Linked DNA regions of Oryzias latipes. The protein of the gene in region 1 purifies or fractionates together with the protein of each later gene. This does not show direct contact. Links are inferred from orthologs where the notes say so. Each region holds a gene or a part of one and is shown in the gene's direction. Other genes may lie near its edges.

Region 1 (4,241 bases):
AGAGGATTTGAAGGTCTTTAGGATCAACAACGTTGCGTTTTTAAAGCATTTGAAATAACAACAAAAAATGTACCCTTCACTAAAACAATGTCTAAACTAAAACATTTAAAGCAAAAAATTCCTGGAAAATATGAGGAAAACTTGCAATTTGGGATATTAGTGCTTAATATTGTGATGAGGATATATCTTGCATTACATAAACAAATAGCAAAACAACTAAATATATCATTTCCATGTTATTGCAAGAGTTTTCATTAAATAAGAGTCAACATAACTTAAATTACACTTCAAATGATCTTTGTTTAAATAGGAGGTGCACATCTAACATGAAAGGGCTCCATCTGATTGGTCAAATGCATAAAGGGATTTATTTAATTCATTAAATAATTCAAGCTGCCATAAGATTGTTTAAGGATATTTAAGGTTACCATTTAGTGCAATTATTTATTTATTTTTTATCTTTTGCGATCTGCGTATTGCACAGCTTGATATTGTGATAATGATAAATTAGCGATATATTGTGCAGGCCTATTGTACACCATGTACTTATAGTGTAGAAAGTAACTGAATACTTACTTAGACTAACATGGAATATTTTAGGTTTACAATATATATATTGTAAACCTAAAATGTTCCGTGTTAGTAGTGTATTTAAGTTTATATACTGTCTATATTATAGATGGTATATAAACGTAAATACACTACTTTGCTGAGGGGATCCACAAAGAGAGCAGATTATATTTTTGTATATGTAATTAAAATTATGCTCTAATAATTTTATTATAGAATTGAATTGCAAATTAAAAGATCAAAAACTGAGTAATAGCTGAGGTGCTATTACTAACGCTTAAAGAAGGCTTGTATTGATGATTACCTAATCTTTGTCAGTAATTATACTAATATTGACTAATATGGGGGCAAGTGGGGTGGGGCCAAATTTTTTGTTGGGTGCAGTTGCCCCCCCAAAGCTCCGCCCCTGGTAGCACTGCGTTTCTGATGTTTTTTCCATTATATAACTAACAAAAGGACAGTTCAAGTTTATTTTAAGTGTTTTCATTCAATAGTTGAATATAAATCCACAGTGGACAGTGTCTGTCTTATCATTAATCTTCCAAAAAAATCTGAATTTGCTGAATTCTTTTCCATTTTTAATAATTTACTGAACGATTGAACATGACAGAACATGGCTTAACATTCAGCAAATTGACAAAAAATAAATAGTAACTTCACTCAAAAGATGCAAATACAGAACAACAGACGATAAAACAAAATAAACACAATATAATAATGCAAGGCTTATAGGATTTTAAATTAAGTCACTTTCTAAAATTTGTTTTTAACACCTTTTTGTTAGTTGAGTCACTTATGGTTAATATAAAAAATGTAATTATAAAACAAAGTCAGCTTTCCACTTATTTGTAAATGTGATATTTTGCCATTTATTTCGAAACAAGAATCTTCTTTTACTGTATTTCTAAAGAATTTCAAAGAAAATTCCTTATAAATATGATACATTCTTAAATAACTTTTGTTCATTGAATTTGCTGAAGTAAAGTGACCTCTTTCCCGCGCTAAGTATCCAGCGCGACTTTCGGCAGCTAGCACATCGGGCTAACGTAACGTTACTGTCGCAAAACCAGAGTGTCGTGATTTCTGGCCGCCCCCCTTGAACATGGCGGCGGAGCTGCACCCGCGGAGCGGAAAGCTGATCGGCCTCTCCAACTCGAACCGAACCGCCCGGCGAAACCAGCCAGTCCAAGAGTTCAACCACGGGCTCGTGCTCAGCAAGGAGCCGCTGAGGGACCGGGATGTCTTCACCGTCCGGATCGACAAGAAGGTAAACAAGCGCGGGCCCGATGCTTTGCATTCTGCCACCCCGAGCGCCGGTGGTCACTCAGAGCAGCAGTGGGGGCTGTAAGTGGATAAACCCGGCTCTGTTTCATCTTGCCACCCCCTGCCGCTCTTCGCGTCTCTACAGGCCGCCTACCTGTTGTGGCGGGGGACTGTTGGGGCCGCAGCGGCGGCGCGGTGACTCGACAACCGCACCCTCGGCTCGGATGTACGGTAAACTGGTCGCCGGGCTCGCGATAACCGTAGGTTAGTTAGCTAGCTAATGAGATGCTAGCTGTTGTTGACTTTCTAGAACGGGTGTCGCTTCTAAAAAAATGAAAACTGTCGCTTCTATTCAAACACAACAGTAGCACAATGGTTAAAAAATAAATACAAATAATAATAATAATAATAATAATAAAAATTAGTTTTGCAATTTTGAAAGAAGTCGGTGCTGCCCAGGTTTCCAGAGGGATGCTAGCAGCACCGCCCAGCTGAAGGGGCTCAGAGGATGTTACTGAACTGATCATTGTTGTTGTTGTCTCATTTTGTGACTGACAGGGTGGGTCGAGCCTTTTCACCCCCCAGCCATTTACCTTTTTAGCACCAAAAAGCTTCCATCCATTTGTAAACAAGATCTGCTTGGTGTCACAGTTGGGGCTTAAAGGCTGAAATTAAATAAAGACAGACATGTTGTTATTGGTGTGTAACTCTTGTGTGCAAATTGACCTAATGGATTCAATGATCTGGTTATTAAATGCATCAATCTGGGTTTTAAACCGACGTTGACGAGTTGAAATCTTATTTTTATGTAAAATTGATCAGCTGGAGTGAAAAGTAAAGAACAGACAGGGGTTTTATTAATTTTAACTTTGTCCCTCCCCCCTGAATGCTGCCTGCTAGAAGCTCCTGGTTTGGCTGCTTTATCTGCAGGCTGCCAGGAGTTCCCTCTGCATACGCTTACGGGGCTCCACAGACCCACTCTGATCATGCAAATCATGTTGTTTTTTTGAGTTTTTAACATGTTCTTGTGGCGTTTTTCTGATGCTGGAGGACATAGATAAAGAAAATGAAGCTTAGTCTAGTCTCTCTTTATTCAGATCGTTGTGAATCGGGAGCAGACAAAAAGAAACATGGTTTGAAAAGCTCGTATTTGTGATGTAGAAATTAAGGGTGGGGCCGCTCCATTCCGATGCATCTTTTTGCAGACGTCTAGATCCATAAACGTCTTTGTTTTATCTCGTCTCGGCTGGTCTCTGACTCCAAACTGTACATCTGGATTATTGCTTCATCATTTTTGTTGTGGGGGTGTGTGAAAGGCTGTAAGCTAGTGGGACAGAGTGTAAACGTGGAGCTCTCAGTTGGGGTGATGGTAAGGGGTAAAGATGATTTTTCTCCGTTGTTTATTGTCATTTTCTAAAAATGTGTGTGTTGTTTTCTGCTTGGCTTTTTATCTGTCTCCGTTTGCTGCAGCTTGGCTGACTCTGCTCAAATAGAAGAGCACAGTTACGGGGAAAACGTGATTCACTCGTGTGAAATCCAGTCCTTTTTCTTACTAAGCGTCAGGAGACCTTACAATCAGAGTAACGTCACGATCAGTCACCTTCAATATTTGATGTTTCAGCTTTTGTGACTAGCTCCTTTTTTTATATAGAAGTACAGAACTGCAAGGACTTAATGTGCTTTACTGCGTGTCATTTTCTGTCATTTATTTCAGTGTTTTGTCTTCAAAGATGCTCCTCCTGAGTATGAAGATGCACTGCAGACTAAAAATAACAGCAAAGCTCTTTTAAAAAAAGAATTAGAACTTGCTTTCATCCCGCTGCAGTTTTACACAAGCTTTATCACCGATTGCAGCCCCATCATTTTTAAATATTATGTCTCTATACTGTTGGAGCTTCATCACACACCTCCTCCCTTGCTAAAGAAAGCATTTAAAATGTCAGCAATTAAACCTAAAACGCGTAATGTTTGCATGCCTTCTTACTACTGATGGATATTTTATAATTTATTTAAAGCGCAAATGTTTTGCAATGTCAGTAAGTATTACTTTCTTCATTTTTGGGGGGGGAACAGAAGCAGCTTCGGTGAAGCGTGCAAAAACAAAAAATGAGAGAAAGGCGTCTGTCATTGTGGCAAACTTTATTTTTTTTTTTCTTTTTTTACAGACATTGTGTTGATGTGAACATTTGAAAGATAAAAAAAAACATTTCCTGTCATTATTTTGTAAAATTCTTCATTTACAAAACAATCTGGAGCTCGTTAAGATGCAGATCTGCTATATTTTTATTTTTAAAAAAACAGAAAATGTCCTTGTTGTTGTTCTCAACATCAGCCTCGTCTGAAAGAATATCAGCAGTTCAGGCCAAAATAAAGTAAAAAAGCTGCCAAAACCTTGGCTTCACTCTTTG
Region 2 (4,244 bases), on another chromosome or scaffold:
CTTTTCAGTGTATATTTTTAAGTTTTAAGTGCAGAAAAAACCTATGTGTTGCATCTTTTTAAACTAAAGCTAATTTTAAAAAAGTATTAAGCATTGTCACTGAAACATTTTTTAACACTCACTAAATGTACAATGAAACTCTCTGGGGTTTTGTTAACAAGCTCACAGCACAGCCATGACAGTTGCAGATTATAGAGTGGTTTTTTTGTGTTCACCTGTAGCTGTAGGTCTTTCATCCAATGCCATTCATCCATCTTCTGAACCTGCTTAATACCTTTTGGAGTCACTGCGCTTCATTCAATGGTTAACTTCAAATTCAAAGTCCAAAGTCAGGTGCAGTCTTTTTCATTGTCTCTGGCTGGCTGTCAAATATCAGAGGGAACCAGAAAGGCAGCAAAATGAAGTTCTTGTGTTTCGTTCTCAGATGGCTCTGCTGAGTCTGCACGTGTCTGAGGTCATCTGCTCTGTTAGTTTTATGTTGATACAAACCACAGACATAACTTTAATTTATCTTTGCTTTTGAAAAATGAATGAAAAAAAAAAAATATTCTTTGACCATGTCATCTGGCCTTACATCTAAGTAAACAGAGTGAGGTTCCATTCTAATCTCACTTCAACGCAGGAATCCTTTTGGAAACATAAAAGACATAACATGAGAGAAGTTTAATGTTTCTATTTAAAAATGACAATGCAATGTAGATAAAAGACTAAACTAAAATGTCTGATAACTATCTGGAATGTTGTCAAGCTGTGGAACGATCATTTTAAAAAAACTATTTACTGTCAGTCAATGTTAGGTTTGGGTTGTGAAGAGCTGTAAGCTAGAAGGGGAGCATTTAAATCAAGAGTCTCCAACCTGAGGCTAAGGAGCCATGTGTGGCTCTTTGGTTTTAAAGAAAATGCTTGGACTTGAAAAAAAAATAGATTAACTAGTTGTTCGATGCAGTATGCATTTTATTTTGCTGTAGTTTATGGTAAAATTAATTCAAATTGGTATAGAAAGAAACATAGAACACGGTTATAATTTAATTATTGTATTAAAAGCAACACTTTATAAATAAAAGGTTTAATGACCACGGAAACCTTTTTAAATAAAAAAGACTATTTTCCCAAACGGTGAAGTTGGACTTTGCAGTTTTTTGGTCAGTAATGAGCTAGACTACATGGCTCTTTTAGCGTTAAAGGTGGCAGATGAGTCCCGCCAACAATTCAGAGGTGAATTTCTAATAAATTCCTGCTGCTCCGCAGTGTTCTAGAAAACAACAATGTTGAGGCTTTTTTGTGTGTTTGCTTGTTAATTTTGTTTATTTATTTATTTATTTGGGGGGGGGGGGGGTAATAACGGCATAATCATGATAAAAAGACCATTGGGAGCGCTTTATAGATCAAAAGATAATCGGGAGAGAGACTTGCAGGCCAGACAGGTAACTACATTTCCCAGAAAGCATTTCACCCTGTGACAGCCGACAGGCGCCTCTTGTGTGTCTGACAGTTAGAGTTAGCTAACGCTCGGTGAAAGCTAGCTAGCCCGGCAGGATGGGTGTATCAGATTTACACTTTGATACGAACGCTGGTGAGTTTCTTTATGGTTTTATAGCCAGGTGAACCCATTCAGTTTGTAATGTTTGTATCGTACGTGTGTTAAATCTAGTCGTTTAGCGCTCTTGACCGTTTTTAGCTCAGCAAACGTCCCGTGACTTTTCTTCATTGACTCTTTAAGTTGAAATATCTGGTGGTTGTTAGCTAGTTTGATCATCAAACTGGACATATTGGCAGACTTGTGTGGAACATCTGTACTGTAAACTAGTTTTCTTTTCAAACCTAACTCTAATTCTTTCCTCCTCACAATTGACTGTTATCTTAAAGATGTTGTGATGTCAGCAGCATCAGTTACAGTTGCAGTGGCTGAGTTGGCCAACGCAGGTTGTCAGTTAAAGCCTTGATCCATCATGAAGTGAACCTGGTGGCCATAGAATACATACACCCAACTTAAATGCACAAAAAAAACTATTAATTTAAAAAGTAGCTTTTAAAGATTTGCAATACAGTAATTGAATTTTACCAGTGTTCTGTTTTACTATTCATTCAATGTGAATTACTTTTACTTTTAACAGCAGCACTTAAATGTTCTTTTCAAAATAAAATACATACTGCGTCGAATAAGATTCTCCTGCTGCTTTAGGACATTCACTTTAATTAAAAATGTAAAAAAAAGGTCAAGTCAAACATGGGATTTTCTGACATCATGACTTTGATGCATAATCATCCTTTTACCGTCGAATATAAACATGACAACGTTGGTGTAGAATCCACTTTAAATTGCTATTATTTACATTAAAGTAGCTCTCCGATCATCTTTCGGTCACGTTTCAAAGCATTTCCAGTACTTTTAATTATGATTATGTCATTTTTAGGAAAAGTCAATAAACCTGTGTCATCTTCTAGGACATAGTTTCTGCAGAGCATCAGTAGATGTGGGCGGGACTGTTGGTGTGGAGTAAGCCCATTGCCACTTCCCATCACCCATCTGTTTACACCCTTTCCCGCTAGCTTACAGCCCCGCACAACCCCAACCCAAATTACTGGCGTAACAAAAATGGCAAGCAACATGGGAGCTATCCAGTCATATACTGTAGTTTTGATTCAAAGTCCAGCTCAGACGAGGAAAACAAAGACGTAGATGAATCTATTTGTCCACAAGTAGAGGTATCAGAATGGAGCGCAGCAGGAAGCCTGTAACTTGCCGTTGTAGGCTCCACGTCACAACACAAGTTTTTATAAAGAGCATTTATCATTTGCTCCTGATTCAAAATGATTTGAATGAAATATACTCAGAATTGCAATTTGAAGCTTAATTTCCTTCATAATTGTCCTGCCTCATCAGGAAAAAAAAACACCCAAAACACCATTTTTTCTTTGAAGTGGATCAACAAGGCTACAAATAGATCAGGTCAACACACAGGGAAACTCAGAGATTTCACATTCAGACAAGATTAAGAGAAGCTGTTTGGTGTCTTCATGTCCTTCAGGCTGGACCAATATAACAGTTCTGTCTGCTCTTTCAATAAAGACTATTAGAGATAGCATAGAGTCAGATCTGCTCAGGGCTCACAAACCCAACAAAGCTCTGGAACCAATCAGGTGGTAGGTAGACCTTTGAGTCAAAGGTGAAGCTACACACAGATTGAAGCAAGATGTCTGATGAACTTGAATGTTCTTCAACGATTTTTAGTTAAAGTGCTGCTTTCTTTCTGTTTCATTAATGGTACATTTGTGACATTTTTTTTTTTAATATAATGCCAACTCTTTGTTCTTTCTGTAAACCAGTGTGAAATGCTTTTATGTACGAAAAGAGAAATCCAAGTGTTTTGTCTTCTGACTCCTAAACCAGCAGGACCCGTGGTGGATCTGACAGGTCGGGGGGTGCAGAAGCTGGATCCCAGTTTCATCAGTTCTGACGACACTCACACTCTCATCTTGGACCGCAATAAAATCATGAAGCTGGATAATCTGGAACGAAGCCCCAGCCTTCAGCAGGTCACATTTTTGAGAGTGGTTCTAGTCTGATGACAGATGAACAAACACGTTCCCGCTCTGTGGTTTTGATGCAAACTCCTTGTTGTCACTAATTCAGCTATCCGTAGCAAACAACCGTCTGGTCAGAATGATGGGGGTGTCTCAGCTGATGCAGCTGAGGGTCCTCAATCTGCCCAACAACAGCATCGGCTACATTGAAGGACTGCGCGATCTGCCTCATCTGAAATGGCTAAACCTTTCCGGAAACAACATAAAGGTGAGGAGACGGGAGGGATTTCTACAAACCAGAAGAACCTCTCATCCAGAACAAAAATGGAAAAGAATTGAAGCATTCCTCAATTGGTTCAAATAAATCAGTGGTTTTCATTAAAACTTTTTAGTTGACTGCCACTCAAGGGGTCACAGTTTACGCAGACATTTTCAGTATTTATTGATGCTTACCAAAGTGTACAAGTGTACCAAAGTGCTTCATAATAAAAGAAACAGACAAAAAAAATGTTTAAAATCAGGCAAATCAAGGACAAATTTAAAAACAGCATAAACTTACAAAACGTTTTTAGCAATAAAATACATCAAAGATAAATAAGAATAAATAAAAGAAAAGAAAATGCCACCTGAGCATAAAAAAACATTCTAAAAAGGTAAGTTTTTAATTGACATTTGAAGCTATGGTCAGATAAAATACAGATTCAGCTACAACACGAGAG
Region 3 (4,082 bases), on another chromosome or scaffold:
CGTATGTTCAAGACTTTCTTTCATTTAATTAATTCAAGAGGACTTAAATACATTACAAAAAGAAAGCATTATTTTTAGTTTGTATGGAACAAAAGACGCAAATATTTTTTCTTCAAGAGAAGATGTGGAAAAACCAATGGGGAGATACTTTATTAGTTCAAATTCAACTTTATTTCTACAGCACTGTTCCTGCTACAAAGCATCTCAAAGTGCTTTTATTTAAAAAAAAGATAATAGTAACATAAAAAATAGTACTATAAATAGAAAACATAAAACAAAATAAATAAATAAAATCACAAGAAACCCGACACCCAACAATATTGAATTAATTGTTAATAAAATTTCTAAAATCAAATGAAAACATGTAAAATCTGTCATTTTTCTGATAATGATAAAGAATTTATAAATAAAAAATGCAATAATAAAGTTTTAAGAGCCTCCTTGACTGCTAAATTATTTCCTCTTCCTGTCAGAAGGAAAACTCTGTCCCAAACTTTCTTTAAAAAACACACATCAATGGGGGACCTTGCTGTGTGGAATTTGCATGTTCTTGCATGTGCTTCATTAATTGGTTAATTTAAATTGTCCCTATAGGTGTGAATGTGGGTGTGTGTGATTGTGGACACTCTAACCTGCGACCGACTGGCGACCTGTCCAGGGTGCCCCCTGCCTACTTTGAATTTCCAGCAAAGGAACGTTAATCCCAATAAACAAAATAAGATTAATGGATTTTCTGGAATGATTTATTTTAGGTGGCTTTCAACAAAAGCACAATCCCAAAATATTCATACCTTAACATTTAATTTGGTTGTATCAAAAAAGAAAAAAAAAAATATTACGTTTGTATTTAACACATTTTTTTTATTTCAGGGACATTTTGTATTTATAAATGTTGTTTTCTGAAAGAGAAGCCAGATTTTGTGTATTTCAAAAACGATCTTATGCTTTTAAATAAATCCCTCTAAAAGTCCATAATGAGAAAGCAATAACTCTTTAATTTATTAGTTTATGTGGATCAATGCCTTTGTTTCTTTTAATTTTATTTGACACTAGTTTTTTTGCTACTAAACTATAATATATGTACTTTTTATTATTTTATTACTTATTACTTTATTTTTTATCTGCTGCTTAGACTTTGTTCTAGTTTTCTATTTTTAACAAGCTACACTGCCTTATGCTTTGCATTTCAGTTTTTTATGTGAAAAAATTTGTAATTTTGGATTTTGTCAATAAAAAAGGTGCAGTTACCATCTCCCCGCTAGAGGGCGATAAAACAGTTTCTCATCAGCGAAGAGCAAGACGACGGCCCGTGACGTCGCATACGTCATCACGCACAGCGTGTAGCACAGAGGCAACATGGCTTTGAATGGAGGTTTGTAAACTTAACTGTTATCAATGTGCAAACTTTGACGTTTCCCCCGTCAGCCTGGTGTTTAACCAAAAAAAGGCATTTATTATTTTTTGATGGTATGATTCTTTGATCTTATTTTTGTGGGGCTACCGCCCCCGCTCTGTTTATAGACGCGTCTAGACATTACGGTTAGTTAGTTTGTAAGCTTAGCTAGCTTGTCATTTCCTCACGGAAATCATGTGGTAACATTTCGAAAACCAATAATAAAGAAAAAAATGTAACTTAAAAACGTGTTGACAAGGGAGGGAAAATATTGCTTTTTAAAAAACATTTTTAAGTTGGTCTAGTAGGGCTGGCATAAAGAAGATAAGCAGACTTTTTTCTTTTAGCACCGTTCAAGTGCTGTTGTTTCTAGCTGCGTCTGTTTAGATGCGATAAAGTAACAGTTTTTGACCTGCAGATGATGAAGACTATGAGTGGGAACCTCCAACAGAGGCTGAGATGAAGGTGATTCAAGCTCGCAGGGAGCGGCAAGACAAGATCAGCCGGCTGATGGGGGATTACCTTCTGAAAGGCTACAAAATGCTGGGGGACTGCTGCGATGCGTGTGGGGTGAGTTAAGGGGGAGTCTGTGTGGCTTTAAAGCGTGCAGAAAATGGTGACGTGATTCATTGTTTGTGGTTCCAGACTATTCTTCTTCAGGACAGACAGCAGAAAAACTATTGTGTCTCCTGTCAGGAGATGGACTCTGACATTGACAAGGATAATCCAGGTACACCAAACCTGTTCTCATATGAGTAATAGCTCCTGCAGCAGGGTTCTTGGGTCTGAAAATCTACAATGATTATCTTTAAAAGTCGTTAAAGACCCGCTCCAATTTAAAAAAAAGTGTTTTTGGTGTTATTAACACTCTTTTGTGGTATTTTTCTAAATATGGAGGGCATATATAAAGAAAATTCTGCTTAAAGTTGTATTTCTGAGTATTTTTCTCTATTCGCATTGTTATGACTCAGGAAATCATGAAAATTCTTAATTACAAAAAACTTGTAGCAGTGATGTAGAAGCTATAATGGGCAGGTCAAAAGCTCCCTGCTCTGCTCCATTCTGATGCGTCCGCTTGTAGACGACTAGAACCTTTTTACGTCTTTGTCCGAGCTGGAATCTGGCTAAAAACTGAACGACTGGACAGCTCCAATATTTCGCAACGATCTTTTTGCACCGGTAATGGTAGTTTGGGGATGTGAGGGGCTGTAAGCTAGGGAGAGAATGTAGACAGGCCCGACCACAAGGCGAAATTCGAGTGAATTACTGCAGCTCTACAGAAACTCTGTCCCAGAGAACAACACAGTTCTTTCAATGGCATAGTCATAATCAAAAGCTCACCGGGAATACTGTTAAAACAGCTCTATAGATATTCGGAGTGGATCTTTAAAACGAAGCACCAACCTTCTCGGTTCCAGCTGGACCAACCCCACAATTTGTCCCAAATGCAAACCAATATCATCCAAACCCAATTAAGTGATAGCTGCACCTCAACAACTGGACATTTAATGTGGGGAATCAATCATGGATTTGTACATATCATTATAGTATAGCCTTTCATCTTATTCATTGTATTTTATCTGAGTGTAACTTTCCTACAGTGCTCTACCCATGTGGTATTTGAGTTGGTTGTGGTTATGACCACTGCTAAATTTGAATTATCTGGTGAGATAGTATCTTGGAACAGTAACCAGCACACTAACATTATCTGCTGCCTCATGAGGAGCATGGTGAAGTGCACATTTAGCATGGCGTTGTTGGAGAAATTTCCCTGTATGCTGTGCAAAATGTTGTAAAATGGGTAATAAATCCTGTTCCAAAAACGACTTTTATCAAGCATTCCCTGTTGACACCCTATTTTGACTATTGGTTTTTAGAATTCACCCATTGTTTCTGCTTTCCTGGAAATTCAACTCTACTATTATTATTATTTTTACTTCAGCTCTGAACGCACAAGCAGCTCTGTCTCAAGTCAGAGAAAGGCAGCTTGCGGCACAGACACCTGAAGTTAATGACGGTCCCAGCAGCAGCAGCAGCAGCAGCACTCAAGCCAGCGGCTCAGTTCCTCAGCCACGACCAGAGCACTGCGAGGGAGCAGCTGCAGGGGGGCGAACTCCTCTTCCTCCTCCAGCTGTGCCTCCTCCTTCAGCTCCTGTTCCCGCCACACCTCTACCATCTGCTCGCCCCCCAGCCCCCCCACAGAGCTCCGTCTTCAGCCCGGTGTTGCAAGACGCCGAGGAGGCTGTTCTCACGAAACTTCGCTGGGCCACCGCCCAGCTTCAGAGTTCGGCATCTCTGGAGGCCAGCATCCAGCTCTGCAGCCTCATCAGCAGCTGTGCCAACTCCCTGCGCAGCCTCAAGGAGCTTAGCCAGTAACTCCAGTGGACTGATGTTAACCACGTAGTGATAGGAACAGTGTTTCTATTTGCCTCTCTTTAAAGAGGACTGACTCTGGTTTAGCTTTCCAGTCCGGCCAAACCTTCGCTTCCCGTTGAAGTCAAAACATCTGCCTGAAATCGGATTCATTCAAAAGTGGGCAAAAAAAAACAAAAACCTATTGTTTCATTTCTGTGTGATTATCTTAGACAAGTTCATCGATTATTCATAAAAGGTTTTAAAATATCTGACCAGTAAAATGTGAATCAGTGAAATGTTTTATGTATTGCGGAGAAAAGCGGACTTGTTTCTA

Evidence for each region.
Region 2: the proteins of neurl4 (region 1) and cep97 purify together in Homo sapiens (affinity purification with western blotting; 4 studies listed by BioGRID and IntAct, with this or other methods). This does not show direct contact. The link is inferred for Oryzias latipes from reciprocal best matches to the Homo sapiens genes NEURL4 and CEP97.
Region 3: the proteins of neurl4 (region 1) and sssca1 purify together in Homo sapiens (co-immunoprecipitation; 4 studies listed by BioGRID and IntAct, with this or other methods). This does not show direct contact. The link is inferred for Oryzias latipes from reciprocal best matches to the Homo sapiens genes NEURL4 and ZNRD2.

Annotation. Positions count from the first base shown.
Region 1 is NC_019876.2:14,650,551-14,654,791, forward strand, and holds the start of neurl4 (neuralized-like protein 4), read left to right. Parts: upstream 1-1,430; 5' UTR 1,431-1,672; coding exon 1,673-1,837; intron 1,838-4,241. UniProt on the Homo sapiens protein: Promotes CCP110 ubiquitination and proteasome-dependent degradation. By counteracting accumulation of CP110, maintains normal centriolar homeostasis and preventing formation of ectopic microtubular organizing centers.
Region 2 is NC_019879.2:10,883,713-10,887,956, reverse strand, and holds the start of cep97 (centrosomal protein of 97 kDa), read left to right. Parts: upstream 1-1,442; 5' UTR 1,443-1,536; coding exon 1,537-1,573; intron 1,574-3,391; coding exon 3,392-3,537; intron 3,538-3,634; coding exon 3,635-3,793; intron 3,794-4,244. UniProt on the Homo sapiens protein: Acts as a key negative regulator of ciliogenesis in collaboration with CCP110 by capping the mother centriole thereby preventing cilia formation. Required for recruitment of CCP110 to the centrosome.
Region 3 is NC_019872.2:7,955,536-7,959,617, reverse strand, and holds the start of sssca1 (Sjoegren syndrome/scleroderma autoantigen 1), read left to right. Parts: upstream 1-1,280; 5' UTR 1,281-1,356; coding exon 1,357-1,372; intron 1,373-1,386; exon of another isoform or gene 1,387-1,467; intron 1,468-1,811; coding exon 1,812-1,963; intron 1,964-2,038; coding exon 2,039-2,123; intron 2,124-3,335; coding exon 3,336-3,769; 3' UTR 3,770-4,082. UniProt on the Homo sapiens protein: Might play a role in mitosis. Antigenic molecule. Could be a centromere-associated protein. May induce anti-centromere antibodies.